Schizosaccharomyces pombe: one gene and its partner. The protein of the gene in region 1 interacts with the protein of each later gene in a biochemical or structural test. Each region holds a gene or a part of one and is shown in the gene's direction. Other genes may lie near its edges.

What was found.
Region 2: of the proteins of set1 (region 1) and hht3, one has a biochemical effect on the other in vitro, tested with the Schizosaccharomyces pombe proteins (one study listed by BioGRID).

Annotation. Positions count from the first base shown.
Region 1 is NC_003421.2:409,672-418,856, reverse strand, and holds set1 (histone H3-K4 methyltransferase Set1), read left to right. Parts: upstream 1-2,909; 5' UTR 2,910-3,329; coding exon 3,330-6,092; 3' UTR 6,093-6,564; downstream 6,565-9,185. Other genes in the region: family protein BIG1, read left to right, coding at 1-381; ins1 (INSIG domain protein), read left to right, coding at 1,280-1,852, 2,078-2,241, 2,325-2,433; condensin complex non-SMC subunit Cnd2, read left to right, coding at 6,790-9,018. UniProt on the Schizosaccharomyces pombe protein: Catalytic component of the COMPASS (Set1C) complex that specifically mono-, di- and trimethylates histone H3 to form H3K4me1/2/3. Binds RNA which might negatively affect its histone methyltransferase activity.
Region 2 is NC_003423.3:3,527,221-3,533,491, reverse strand, and holds hht3 (histone H3 h3.3), read left to right. Parts: upstream 1-3,926; 5' UTR 3,927-3,962; coding exon 3,963-4,373; 3' UTR 4,374-4,692; downstream 4,693-6,271. Other genes in the region: DNA-binding transcription factor Rsv2, read right to left, coding at 1-561; SPOM_SPBC1105.13C (uncharacterized protein), read left to right, coding at 1,304-1,732; hhf3 (histone H4 h4.3), read right to left, coding at 3,414-3,725; RAVE complex subunit Rav1, read right to left, coding at 4,811-6,271. UniProt on the Schizosaccharomyces pombe protein: Core component of nucleosome. Nucleosomes wrap and compact DNA into chromatin, limiting DNA accessibility to the cellular machineries which require DNA as a template.

The DNA of each region.
Region 1 (9,185 bases):
TCTCCTTTGAATAACTCAGATTTTGAAGGATTTAAGGTTGATGCTAACGAAGAAGAGGCCAATGCTGAATTTGTAATTCAAACGCTAGGTGGTCTCAACTCAGGGAAGAGTGCTCTTCAACACGGCCAATTGGCTTCTTTACCTGATCAAAATGAGGGATCACAAACCACGCTTGCTATGCACCAAACAAGGAAGCACCCTGTCACCGACAATGGTGCGACGGGACTGTTTACCGAATATCAATTTTTTACTCCTGGTTTGTACATGGGTTATTTGGCATTGGCTGTATTGGTTCCAACTTTGTTTATTTCTTGCCGTTTACTTTCCTCTATTCAAATCAGCTATCACGCTTTTGATAGTCCTCGACGCAAACAGTTATAAACCTCTTCTTAAGGTGAATAAGCTGAAGAAGTTTCAATTTATTTCTTTCTTTCATAATTGATACATCTCACACTTAATTTAGAAGAAAATTATTGTCATAAATGGTTCTTGATAAGTATAGTTTGGTGACATTTTTACCTTTCAGCGCAATTCCTTAGGTGTCCAAATGGTTAGAATGATCTTTGTTTTTTAATATATTGAAGTCTATTAAATAGTTTTTTGGACTGAAGAATTTATTTCTTGTGATGAGACAAACTTTATAACCATAATATTGTTTTTTCTTTATGATGATTCTCTACGGAAGGTGAAAGTTGTTGGCATCATGTAGTCAGCATAACTTTGTTTTGCTTTTTGTATTCTATTCAATTAATATTTTTGTTTTGCGGTTTTAAAAATAGTAGATGAATTTGCTATACTTTGAATAAACTAGAGAAACCACTTTAGGCATACAGACTCAATTATGAAATTTCCTTAATTATTTAAAGCAATTTCTTCGTGGCTGATTGTTTCGTAGAATGAGTGTTTGCGAGAGTTTTTTCCTTGGATATTTTCGTTATTAGTTAACATTGTCATTACTTATGGCATGCATCTTCAAGTGATCAAAGCACAATATACCTTAACAATAAGAGTAATATGGATGCAGAAAAGTTTTGAGTATATTTCTATAATTTAGAAAGGTCAAATTCACATATAAAAGTGATTGTAAATATTTATTCATTTCAGATCTCTCTTACTTGAGATCTTTGTTACTCAAAATTGTTACTTGTCACTGGGCTATGCGTGTTTTGTGCAATGTCTCGATTCTGCCAAGTACCTAAACGTAAAGATTGATTCTTCTCCATCCATTTAGTCAGTTTCACAAGGATCTCTACAGAAAGGTGCCGTAAGCTTGAATAAAATGAGCAGAAAAGAGATTTACGAACCCCGTCCGCGCTACCCAGATGGTTATAATGGAAATCGAGCGGTCAAGAAGTCCTTGTCGGTACTTTCTTTGGACAATATGAAATCGACACTATCAGGGCTTTTTGCTCCACTTAAATTAGATGAAGAGCAGGCAGAAGATGATGAATCCCTGAGTAGTTATGAAGATTACGCGTCTAGACAGATCGATGATGATTTAAAGAAACAGAGAAAGAAAGGGATAACATTTATAGACTATTCATCTTTAATAACTTTTTTTTGTAAGCTTTGTGTTATATTTGGATTAGGGTTTGTGTTTACTTATTTGGCTGAACAAATTGTGCAAGATGCAAAGCTACCACTTCTGACGGTCAATCTCAAAAGTTGGAAATTTGAGCCCCCATGGCCTGCAATTTTTGGCTTCGTTGCTGTCATACTTGGACTCTCTTATCGACGTATGGATACGAAGTATCCTTTGGGAGCTGCCCCTTTACGCCCTTCACAATCGTCTAAATGGCAATGGATTTCTCGGTATCTTGCTGCTTTCGCTACATTGCTACTTTCTATGAAGGTAAGTTTTACATTATACGAGGCGTTCCTTTAAATAAAAAAGTGAAATATATATGCAAGATGTATGGAGTTACAGCAATTATCTATGCGTAACGACTTCTTGATATAGTTTATTCATCACCATAAATAAGTTGTGCTGTTTTCTGAGAATTTAAGTTTGATAGTAAACCCTCTTTGCCAATGCTTACTATGCATCGTGAATATACTCTTGCTAACTTATCTCTAGAAATTACTATTTATTTCGAATTCACACTCCATTGTTGCACTCGTTGCGAGTTCTGCTAGCATTTGGTATATATTTGATCGCTCAAGAAACGGTATTATTTTGTCGACAATTACTTCTGTGTTGGGGAGTATCTTATATTATAATTTGGTTGATACCTCAAAAATGTATGTTAGTTGTTATCCATCAACTGCCTACCAAAGGCTGCTCCAGTATTTTCAAACATTCGTTTATCAGCTAACAAATTTAGTGAGTTAAATGGAGTTGAATTCCCTGAAATTCAGTTTCGTTTATGGATTCCTATGATACTTTTCTCCGCTTCTACGATTGTTGGTAACGCTGGTCGTCTACTATTTTAATTTATTCTCTAGGAGTTGGTTGTTTGTGCTTTACGTTCTCTTTTTAGCCTTAGACTTCATTATCCAAAACAACCGGGTTAAACTTGTTTTGCTAAATGTTTTCCTACTTCGCATCTGGGCACTTATTTGGTTTTTCTGTATTCGATTATCCTTTTGTACCTTCTCGTCTCATTCATCGTTGTGTGCGAATCGGTTTTCTATCATGTACCAACAATCTTTTCATGTTAGTATTTTCTATTATGATTCCTAATATTCCTCATGTAGTTTATAATTATGTCTTTGTTCTAAAACATTCATCTACAAGTTTTCCTTTCTCAAGCCATTTATTCTTGCTTCTCTTCAGCAACATTGGTAGTGTAATATGCAACGGTATCTTTGGATAACGATTTTACTAAATTTCGCTATAAGAGCTACTGTGGCGCGTAATATGAATTGGCCTACCTTACACAAACATCCACAGAGATCCTATAAACTTTGTGTTTGGCCAAACGGATGTTTGACAGAGCTTTTTTACTTGTTATTAGCCTTATGAACGTATTTATTTGAAGACTGATCAAGTTTTACTTGAGTTTTTGAATATTGTTATAATTTACAAAGTAACGTCGCGCGACATACTTTTCCAATTATAAGCTGAATTACGGTTCAAATACTTTACAATAGAAAGCTCTTCATCCCGGCGATATTATTTCTTTTTACATAACGTTTTTTTTTTCATAATTTGTCAAGGCTCATTATTGGAATAAATTACACTTATCGAGTTGTTACCAAATTTTTGATTTTGATTTAGTGCACAGGTTTTTAATATCTCTTGATTTTTTTTTTTTTTTACTTTATAGCTCTTTTTTGTTTTGATCGAATGCCTGGGATTTGCTACTTGGATTCAATATTAATCAGCCATGGATTTTAATACCTCTACGCGGTCGAAATCTCAACCCGTTCAAAGGAATAATTACAAAGTTTTATACGATCCAGAATTAGGAATCAAGGAGAACCTTGGTCGCAAAATTATATATCGGTTTAATGGTGTTTCAAAACCACCTTTAGTAGTTCGCGACCCTAGACTTAAAAATCCAATATATGCCCGCGGTATTCCTAAAAGTGGAAGGCCATTTTTAAAATCTTTGCAAACTATAAATTATGACTACAATGAGAATTCATTAGGTCCAGAACCTCCAACTCAGGTTTTTGTTTCTAACATCTCACCGCTCGTGACTTCTGAACAGCTCCGATATCATTTTAAATCATTTGGGGAAGTTTTCGATTTAGACTTAAAGTTAAACCCTTATACAGGTACTTCTTTAGGGTTGTGCTGTATATCTTTTGACAAGCGTAGTTCCATTTCTGTAGCAGCACATTCAGCGAAAATTGCTGTACAACAAGCAAATGGCTTGAGGTTTTCCGGTAAGCCTCTTTCAGTAGTCCTTGATCGGGATGGTTCATTATGCGAAGAAGCGTTCAAGAAAGCTTTAAATGCTGTTGAAAAGCAATTTCAAGAAGAAACTTTACAGAAACAGAGATTCGAGCGGGAAGATGAATCTTCGCGGCAAAAGTTATCTGCAGCTATGAATGAAGATATTCCTCCTTGGCGTCAACCATCGAAAAATTCACAAACATTGAGCAATGGAGACTTGCAACATTCTAAAGTTCAGAACGTGGACCAGAAATCAGGTTTTCTTACGTCAAGCGAGACTGATGTTCCAAAAAATATTAATGATTATATTTATTTACTAATTGACGATCGCTTTGTCCCTCCAGATCGTGTGTATTATACTGATATAAAGCATCATTTTCGAAAATTTTTGTATGAAAAGATATACATGAACAAAGACGGGTTTTATATAACTTTTAATAATTATCGCGAAGCGAGCAATTGTTACCGTGCGCTGGATCGTACATACGTACAAAATTGTCGCATAAAATTGAAATTTCATGACATTCCTTCACGTACAAAGGAAGATGGAAAAAAGAGCGCAGTACGAAGAGTTGTTTTACCTCCCGAGGAAGCGTACGCTGAAGCAACCTCAGTTGTGCTTAGAGATCTTGAGGCTGCTTTGTTACGTGATGTAAAAAGTAAAATAATTGGACCGGCAATCTTCAAATATCTTCATTCAATGCCTAAGCCTTCTGTTAAGGAAGAACTACAAGAAAATTTATTGGTTTCATCTACAAGTGTTCCTGATGTTCCTTTAAAAATTGAATCAACAGTCGGAAAGCTCCCCAGTCTTCCCAAATTTAAAAAACGAGTTGATTCCAGTAAAATGAATCTTTCAGCGGGTAGTAAAACGAAGTCGAAACTTCAAAGAAGACGTAGAAGAAGGCACGAAGCTCGACCTTTACACTACCAGCTTAATCAAATGTATAACTCAAGCGCTTCTGAAGCCGAGTCTGATCAAGAACTTTTGTTATCTTCTGGAGACGAGCGTGTAGAAAGAGGGAAGATTGGCTCAATAAAGTCTGTGAAGTCTGACGAGGCGACTCCAGTTTTTTCTGATACATCTGATGAAAATGACAAATTCCATCGTTTTCGTACAAAATCTAAAATATCAAAGAAAAAATATGAAAAGATGGAAGTTGACTATACTTCGTCCAGCGAAACCGAATCAGATGCATCAATACTTTCTCCTAGTGCTGCGATTCCAAAATCAGGTAGCGCCATAAAAGATGAACTCATATCGCCTAAGAAAGAGATTGATGAAGTTTTAGCTTTAGCTCCCAAATGGCGTATTAATGAGTTTGATGAAACTGGAAGCGTTTATTATGGTGCACTTCCTTACAATTATCCAGAAGACGATGTACTTCTTGACTTGGATGGTCTACAGTACTTGGTAAAAAATGACGAAGATTACTCATATCTTCAAGAGGCACTCAAGGATGAACCCCTCATGGATATCAACGATCCCAATTTCTGGGCTTATGAACGCAAGTCATGTAAATTTAAGAATGGGGATGTTAAGTATGGAGATACGGCTATTCTTCCAGAACCTAAAGGTTATTTTCGCTCTAATACTAGCGGTTCTGCTAAAAGTGAGGGATACTATATTATTCCAACTACCGAAAAATCACTATATCTACCACTTCGTAATCGATCAACCATCGATACTATTAGTCATTCTACAAGCCGTATCACATCACGAATGAATCGTGTTAACAATAGAAGATTGGCTGCTGGAGTTGAAAAGTCTCAATTGCCAGCCGAAGCTGACTTGCTCAGATTCAATGCACTAAAGGCTCGTAAAAAGCAATTACATTTTGGCCCTAGTCGCATTCATACATTAGGGCTTTTTGCCATGGAAAACATTGATAAAAATGATATGGTCATAGAGTATATTGGAGAAATCATTCGACAACGGGTGGCTGATAATCGTGAAAAGAACTACGTTCGTGAAGGTATTGGAGACAGTTATTTGTTCCGTATTGACGAGGATGTTATCGTTGATGCTACAAAAAAGGGAAATATCGCGCGTTTCATCAATCATTCATGCGCTCCTAATTGTATAGCTAGGATTATTAGAGTTGAAGGGAAAAGAAAAATCGTAATTTATGCTGACAGGGATATTATGCATGGAGAGGAACTTACTTATGATTACAAGTTTCCGGAAGAAGCTGATAAGATTCCTTGTTTGTGTGGTGCTCCAACATGTCGTGGCTATTTAAACTAGACAATGATGCTCTTGGAGAATTGATGGTACATGAATATATGGGCAGCTGTACAATTATAATAGTTCGTTTAAAAAGCACGCATTATATCTGATGGTACACTAATGCTTTTTATTTTTTAATATAGAATAGAATCAATTTTCTGTCTTACATCGTCTGCATTTGATATTGGTTGAATATTTTGAGAGTCAGGATAAATGCGCATACCATTCAGTGGATTGCATTCAGGAGTGATTTAGAAGTAAAATGTTAAGAGATATACTGTCTTAGATATATCCATTTGCTCCACAATACTACGAAGTTCAAGTTTAAATAAACGAAAACGAAAAATAAAATTCTCTTAAAACTTGATAGCTACTGAATTTTAGGATCCAAACTTGATTTGGTATTACCTTGTTAATTTTATATGGAAGATTTATAATAATTGAAACTTCACAAAATTTGTAACAGAATAATAAACAAAAGACTTTTGACTTTGTAATCGGGAAGCCATCAATGAAGTAAATTGGGAAATACTATATTATTTGAAAACAAATTTCAAAAGAAAAATAATGTTATCATATTGGCATTTATTTAGAAACTTATTTGAATCTTTATCATTTGTTGATTAGAAAGAAATATACGGCATATCGTTAAAGCGCGATATACGTATAGGCACACCGACTTACCACTTGTGAACATAAACATTTACTTAAATCAATGAAAAGAGCTAGTTTAGGCGGGCATGCGCCCGTTAGCTTACCCTCCTTAAATGACGATGCATTAGAAAAAAAAAGAGCTAAAGAGAACAGCCGTAAGCAGCGCGAGTTGCGAAGAAGTTCAGCTCTGCACTCAATAACGCCAAGAAGAGAATCTCTAAACAATTCTTCACCATTTAATAGCTCTCATCAGGTTCCTGTTCTTTCTAATTTTGAGGAATGGATTAAATTAGCTACTGACAACAAAATTAATTCCACAAATACCTGGAATTTTGCGCTTATTGACTATTTTCACGACATGTCGCTTCTACGTGATGGTGAAGATATAAATTTCCAAAAGGCAAGCTGTACATTAGACGGATGCGTGAAAATTTATACTTCGCGTATTGATTCTGTTGCTACTGAGACCGGCAAGCTACTCAGTGGATTGGCAAACGATTCCAAAGTATTGCAGCAAACGGAAGAAGGCGAAGATGCTGAAAATGATGATGAGGATCTACAGAAAAAGAAAGAGAGAAAGCGTGCACAACGTTCGGTAAAGACTCTCGTTAAAGATTTCGAGTCAATACGCGCTAAAAAATTTGAGTTAGAATGTTCTTTTGATCCTTTATTCAAGAAAATGTGTGCAGATTTTGATGAGGATGGTGCTAAAGGCTTATTAATGAATCATCTTTGTGTTGATCAACATGGACGAATTGTATTCGATTCTAGCGATACTGTCATCAAGGATTTGGAAAATAAAGATGTTGAAGCTGAATCGCAGGAAGCGGTAGTCGCAGCGCCTATCGAAAGCCATGACACAGAAATGACTAATGTGCATGACAATATTTCTAGGGAGACCTTGAATGGTATTTACAAATGCTATTTTACCGATATTGATCAGTTGACAATATGTCCCTCCTTACAGGGCTTTGAATTTGATAGTAAAGGGAATCTTGATGTCTCTCTCTTAAAATCATTAAGTGATGAAGTTAACATGATAACGACAACCTCCTTAGTGGATAATACGATGGAGAAAACTGATGCTGATGCAGCTTCCCTTTCTTCCGATTCCGATGGTGAAGAAGGACATATTGTGCATGCTTTGGAGGAAATGGCTTACGATGAGGAGAACCCATATGTTGATGTAGTACCAAAAGCAATGGACGAATCCGAAAATCCAGATTTTGGTGTGGATACTGAAGTCAATATGGCTGATGGAAGTACTATGAATGAAAATTATTCTATTATTTCTACTGCCGCTGCGAATGGAGTATACGAATATTTTGACAAGTCAATGAAAAAGAACTGGGCTGGACCCGAACATTGGCGCATTCAGGCATTGAGAAAAAATATCAATAACGCATCAACTGTATTCAACTCTTCCAATACGGCTGAAAGTTCAGATAATGTATCGCGTTCTCTTTCTTCCACGGAACGGAAAAAGCGTCGAGAACTTGATAACGCCATTGATTTCTTGCAGGAAGTAGACGTCGAAGCACTGTTCACTCCTGCAACCAGCAGTCTCAAGCTTCCCAAGTCTCATTGGAAAAGACATAATCGATGTTTACTACCTGATGACTACCAATATGATTCTAAGAGGCTTTTACAGCTTTTCTTGAAACCAAAGATGTCAGTTCTACCCAACGCTGATGGAGAAGGACAGCTACAACTGAATAAAGCCTTAGATGATGAGAATGATTTGGACGGTATTCAACCCCATGGATTCGATTCTGATGGCAGTGATAATGTTGATGAAGGAATACCCCCGTATGGATTTGGAGATTCCGATAGCCCTAAGCAAACACCTCTGCTTACACCTCCATCATCATCAGGATTTGGTGATAACCTTTTGTTAACTGCTCGTTTGGCAAAACCAGATATGCTGAATTATGCGAAGCGTGCTAAAAAGGTTGATGTGCGAGTACTGAAAGAAAAGCTATGGAAATGTCTAGATCTTGAAAACACAATTAAAGAAAATTCCATCAACTCTCATATTGAGGGTTCGGAGATGGAGTCAGAAGAAACCAACATGCCAGTCAAATCTTTTTTTTCCACTGTCAATCAATTAGAGGAGACATACGAGAAAAAAGAACTCAAAGATATATCCACCAGTTTTGCCTTTATTTGTGTTTTACATTTGGCGAATGAACATAATTTAGAGCTTACAAGCAACGAAGATTTTTCAGATGTTTTTATTAGGCCAGGTCCTAACTTGACGACGCTAGAAGCATTAGAAAATGATGTTTAAAGTGTGTAGAATCGAAATGATGCAGGTCATCATTAATTAGTCATCATCGCATACTTTTAGCTAGCGTGAATCATTTTCAAGATAGCCGGAAATTATACTCTTTTTGATCTACCTTGAATAATAAAAACACTAGCTCGTATTTTTAGGCTGTTACTACTTTTTGACAT
Region 2 (6,271 bases), on another chromosome or scaffold:
GCTTGCAGATGCGTTACTCCCAGCATTTCCACTGGGGGAACTGTTAGCAGTAATAATGTGATTCGTTTGAGCCGAGGTAGGTTCGTTCGACCCGTTGACAGGAGGTGTGGTGATAAATTGATGATTGCTGCCAAGGGACGAAGGGACACTTGGAAAGTTAGCAGCGTTACCATAGTCAGATGCTAAGGGATCAAATGGCATGTCCATCGAGGAATCGGGAATAGTGTCGAGGGAGAAGGGGTCCATTGTGTCAGCATCGTTGTAGACACGAATGGGAACGTTCATCATATAGTCCCAGGAGGACATATCAGATAAATCTGAGTTATTTTCTTCTAACGTAGTAGGGTTAAAACGCTTTAAATTGAGTTCGGGCATCGAGATTTGCTCGAATTCAGCATCCGAGAATGCATTCGGAAATACATTAGTCACAGAGCGACCATTCATTTTGGATTTACGATTTTGTTGCAATTGGGATCCATTAAATTGCCAATCTGGAGTGGGAAAGTTATCGTTCCCATTACTAGAAATTGATCTTGCATATGTGTTGTTTGTAGTGTCCATACTACCCAGCAAAGATGCGCGAGGCAATGTATATATAAAGAATGACGTCAAGCGTCTGATTGAAAAAACCACCCTTGTCAAACAACATTGGTTAGCAATTGACGTCGTTTTACATTGATTGAGCCAATCAGAGGCCGCCAATGAAGTAGCATGGAAATGTCAGAATGCGCTGGCAGTGCTGCTGATTCGTTCTTTTCAAATAAAAGCGCGTAATGTGTAAGCGAACCCCAATTACATTCCTTCAATCTGCGACTTGCGCTCTACGCTGTCCTCTCATATGGAAAGCGAGCTTCCAGTACTTAAATCACCTTATATATCGCGGTTAGTCATAACGCACTAATGAAGGAATACGCTGCAAGCTTCATTCCAAAAGCAATCATAGAATGAGGTCAAAATGAAGAGGCGGAGTCGGGGAAAGATGAGATTGAAGGATGAATCAAGTCCACGATACTTTTAGGTCATATCACGACGTTGATTTGCATCTTACTCTAGTTACTCGTACTTTAGAGATGCGATGGAATTGAGGATGTTTGGTACAACAAATGTCTTGTTTTTCGTTTGCGCCGTGTCACGCTACTCCTAAGATAGCAGCTAAATGAAAAGTCTAAAAACGCTAAAAAAATTTCCTCCCTACATGTTCAAGTCAATCAAGTGCTTCATGTTCCCGATCACCATATCGGCATCGCAATGCAGACCTCGATTGCTTACTTAAACTCGGTAATCTCGTCTTCCGTTACCCTACATGATCACGGAATTCATCAAGTCGTTTTTACTTTTTTTTTTCCTTCCCTTCTTTCTTTCGATGCCGATGATCTTCGCTACTCTGGGGGAGTTTACCGACGATCAAACTCATCATTATTCCACGCTTCCGTCGTGTGACCTTCTCCTTATTCGTGGAGAAGTTAAAGAAAATGCCAGATGCTTCTTGCATAACCCAAAAATTAGTCATCAGCATCATTCTTTCTGGTCCTTAATAGAAGGATGTTTGGAGGCGCTGCAATTTGGCTTACTAGCAATTCTTCAGGGATTATTTTCTCAGTTTGCATGGGAAGCCTGCTCTTGTACCTTTGCATGCATGCTTCTTACTAGCGAACGTACTGAACCGTCTTATCCGTTTTCCGAGATTACAGAGGTCAGTCGTGGTGGGTTGCACTTCGTTAAGTTGAATTAAGTATGCTTAACTCAGGTGAAGTCAATTTGTCGATGTCGATGAGATTGGCTAGTACACGAAGGGGATGCGGAGCTGCTAAGCAGAGGAGTGATTTAACTATGAAACCAATTCGTAGGATAAAGTATACTTTACCGATCGATATGGATGATGCAGATGTAGGAATCAATTATTCTACTTTCTTGTGAAAAGCATAACCCATGTGTATTATTTTCAAACAAGTCAAACAGATGGATAGCCAACACGCATATGACTGCTTACTCAAGTACAAATGACTTTTAGAGCATACCAATTTCAACAGACTTTTATCACTAGTGCAACTATCTTTTTATCAGTTGTAGTCTTTCAAACATCAATAATCACTGGCATTCACACACGGCAATACCAATCATTATGTTATTACGAGAACAACTCGTGAACAAATGGATTCCAGTGTGTTCTAGCATACACATAAATGTCTCGTCTTTCTACTTTATTATTTAGTCGATGAGTGGAACAATTAATAAACTTACCATTCAATATTGCACTGACAAACGTATACTTTTTTATATTTCTCTTTCTTTTCGTAGGCTTTACGTACTTACTCTTCCTTATTTTCCTCTGCAACGAAAAAGAGGATTGGATTATGGGCTTCGTCAAACGTTACAATTACAGAGTAACCTTGTAATAAGATGAAGTAAAATATAAAGTAAACGACGTGTAGTGATAAAAAATCTGTATTTTTGTCAAAGTGAACTTAATTGTTCAACGCGTTCTGATGTCATATGCCCAAAAATAATTCACCTACCCAAGGTAATTGAAAAATTTGTCAATACAAAACGAATGCTTTATAAACACAAAAGAAAACATGTCAGATTAGAGAAAGAGTCGTACGCTCTCATTGCTGAAAGCTTTTTATCCTTAACACTTTACTGGAATTTGTTAGTCCCGTTGACTATGTGGTTGTTAGATACAGATTAGGTAAATTCATTTATTGTGGTATTAAGCAAGGAGCGGAAGAAAGTACGTACTTTTTTACATTGTTAAAAGTTTTATTTGACGAAATTACAACACTTAATAAGTATCTAAGTATGCGATCGAGCTGATTCAATTTGATATCTCTCAATTAGAAAGTTGCGTATTACCTCACAACTACGATGTACCGTACAATTCACAATCTTCCTGGCTATGCAACTGTTTGCTATCAACTAGTCGCTTAGATAACCTTCTTTAACCCCATTCACTAGACACACTTTCCCCATACCCAGAAAGATGACACGAAGAACAGTGTAACGCATCAACTAGGTTAATTTGCTTAAGGTCGCACAAACAATTACCTAAAGAAAAACTTGCGCGTTTACTATATTTGTACTACTTATAAATATCACGATACGATTCGGGTTTAATGAACATTATATTAATCATTTCATTCAATAAATGTATTAATCACAAATCCACGAAGAAAAATTCATCTTCTTGTCAGATGGAGTATTCAGCCGTGATACAACGCGATATGAAAAATTTCTCACAAAGACCAAACGCCTTTTTGTCTATGAATTGCACTAGCAAATTGATAATGCTTCTTCTGATATCGCCCAGATGAAAAACATTCTCGTTTGGCATGTATATATAGAATAGTTATAGTGTACACATAAAATTGATAGACTCGAAACAAAAAATTCGGAGTCGGCAATTGATATCGAATTTAACCACCGAAACCATAAATGGTACGGCCTTGACGCTTCAAAGAGTAGACAACATCCAAAGATGTAACAGTCTTACGCTTGGCATGCTCAGTATAGGTGACAGCATCACGAATAACATTTTCCAAGAAGAGCTTGAGGACAGCACGAGTCTCTTCGTAAACTAAAGCGGAAATACGCTTAACACCACCACGACGAGCAAGACGACGAATGGCAGGCTTAGTAATACCTTGAATATTGTCACGAAGGATCTTACGGTGACGCTTGGCACCACCCTTTCCTAAACCTTTTCCACCTTTACCACGGCCAGACATATTGCACTATTAATATTAACGAAATAGAGTTACTACTATAAACAGTGCTTCTATTGCTAGTAGGGTATGCGGCATTTCACAATATATATTAATGCGCCGTCCCTATTAACTTACGTCAATTTAATTAAAGGGTTAGGGTTGTGATCAAAGTTGGATGTAGGGACATATTTATACAGCGTAATCTCCCTATAATTTGTTTTTATCTACACAGGGCAATTATCAGAACACTAGAAAATAATGGCTCGTACTAAGCAAACTGCACGTAAATCAACTGGTGGTAAGGCTCCTCGTAAGCAACTTGCCTCTAAGGCTGCCCGTAAGGCTGCTCCCGCTACTGGTGGTGTTAAGAAGCCTCATCGTTATCGTCCCGGTACAGTCGCTCTTCGTGAAATTCGTCGTTATCAAAAGTCTACTGAACTTTTGATTCGTAAGCTACCTTTCCAACGCTTGGTCCGTGAAATCGCCCAAGATTTCAAGACTGACTTGCGTTTCCAGTCTTCTGCCATTGGTGCTCTCCAAGAAGCTGTTGAGGCCTATCTTGTCTCTCTATTTGAAGACACTAACTTGTGTGCTATTCACGGAAAGCGTGTAACTATTCAACCCAAGGATATGCAATTGGCTCGTCGTCTTCGCGGTGAACGCTCATAAGCAACTTTACCAAATTGTGGTTGCCATCTGATGGTGTGATTTGGAATCTTTTGGTCGTCTATCCCATTGTAATCCTTCCCTCATTTACTTTGCCTTTCGAAACAAAATTTAACCTTGAGTGTTGTGGAATGTAACAAACGATATGCAAGTCTAATTTTTTGTTTCCGTGAGCTGCACTATCTATTTATATTTTTGTTTTCTTTTTTCGAGTTATACCGCGGACGTTTTTATTTTCGAAATGTATAGAAATTTTTAATTCTCTCTTTACGTCCTGCGCAATTGTGTAAATGAAACGCTGAGGAACTTCATCTGTATTCTTATATGCTATTTAATAGTAAATTAATTTTTAATATCATTATTGAAACACGATAAACTAAGGGTTGACCGTATTTGATTTTTTGTAGTATTTTTAAAAACTCGTATCGATAATTAATTAATTACTCGAAGCTGAACGCAGATTCATTAAATTCGGGGACATCGTCCGGTGTTGGCCGGATATCTTGTCCCATAAGAGTTTTTCCAAGTTTGGGGGAGTCGTGAGTTTTTTCCACTGCAGACTGCTTGTCAGTTACCATATAATCCTCAGTTTCAAGATGAGCAGTTGCAGGATTTTTTTGGAATTTCCAATTACGCAAAAGCCCAAGTGCTATTAGGTCACATCCTAATTGGCAATACACATTAGCATTATGCAAAACAAATCGATATTCAAGACTTTCATCAATTTGCACGTTGCTGGATCTTAAACATTCATATAACAAAATGAAGGCAGGATCATCAGACGGAAACTTATTTCGTACGGGTTCGTTAGTACTATTTCGTTGTGAATCTTTATTTTCGTGAATTTCTTGGTCGTTTTTATCGGATGTATAAAGTTGTATAAAGTCATTATCGCTGACCAGCGAGCGAATGGGAGATACCAAACTTTGCAAGGCCTTTTTTTCCTGTTTTAAAATAGTGAAACTCCAATTGGTGAGCCATCTATCGTTTTGAGATACAGCCAAAGGAAGTACATACTCGTTTATTAGCCTCTTTAAGGTCGGACCATCGTCGCCTTCATAGACTCGAGTCATTGCGATGGCTAATGAAATGCTTTTTAAATTACGGATACATACTTTTGCGGCATCATAGCAACTATCTGCCAAAAGAAAAAATGCAGAAGCATAAAAATATCTGTGCTTGCTTAAAAGTGCAAAAGCATTCTTGGATGCAACCACTTTCCACTTCTTTTTTGAAAAGTCATTCGAAAGCAACTTAACCGTTCGAGCTGATTCCTTATGCCAACTAGCAAGACGCCAAAGATCACGAAATACATTTATTTTGTGTAGAGCAATGTGATATAAACTAACATTCTCTGGGTTCCTATCGTCAATCTCAGCGTAATGATTGCGAGACAGCTCTAAAAATACATCTTTCAGTAGCTGCTCATTTAGCCAAAACGGTATCGCATATTCTTCAACAGCATTCCATAACAATGGTTTTCCATGAAGCTTTTTAGTGTGGTCCAACAGAACAGCTTTGTTAGAGCTATGAAAAGCCCACGCCATCTCTCGGGTGGGCAAGCTTGTTAATTGACGTTGATGTTTTGATAAAACGTACTGGTTTAGCATAATGCAATATCTTTTTCCGTTGAGGTCCAATGAATCTCGCAATGCTCTTGCCTTATTGAATGCCTCGATTAAATTAAGAAGTAAAAACTGAGATGATCGAGTGAGGGTTTTGACTTTCTTTACTTTTAATAATGCAGTCAACTTCTTTATCATTTCATCAATGTATAATCCTAAATGCTTTGAGACACTGGTCTCTTCAAAATCCAATTCCGCAGGATTTAGAATTTCCGCAGAATTTTGGCTGAGACTTTTTATTAAAAGGTCTTTAGAAATTTCTTCGTCACAGCAGTA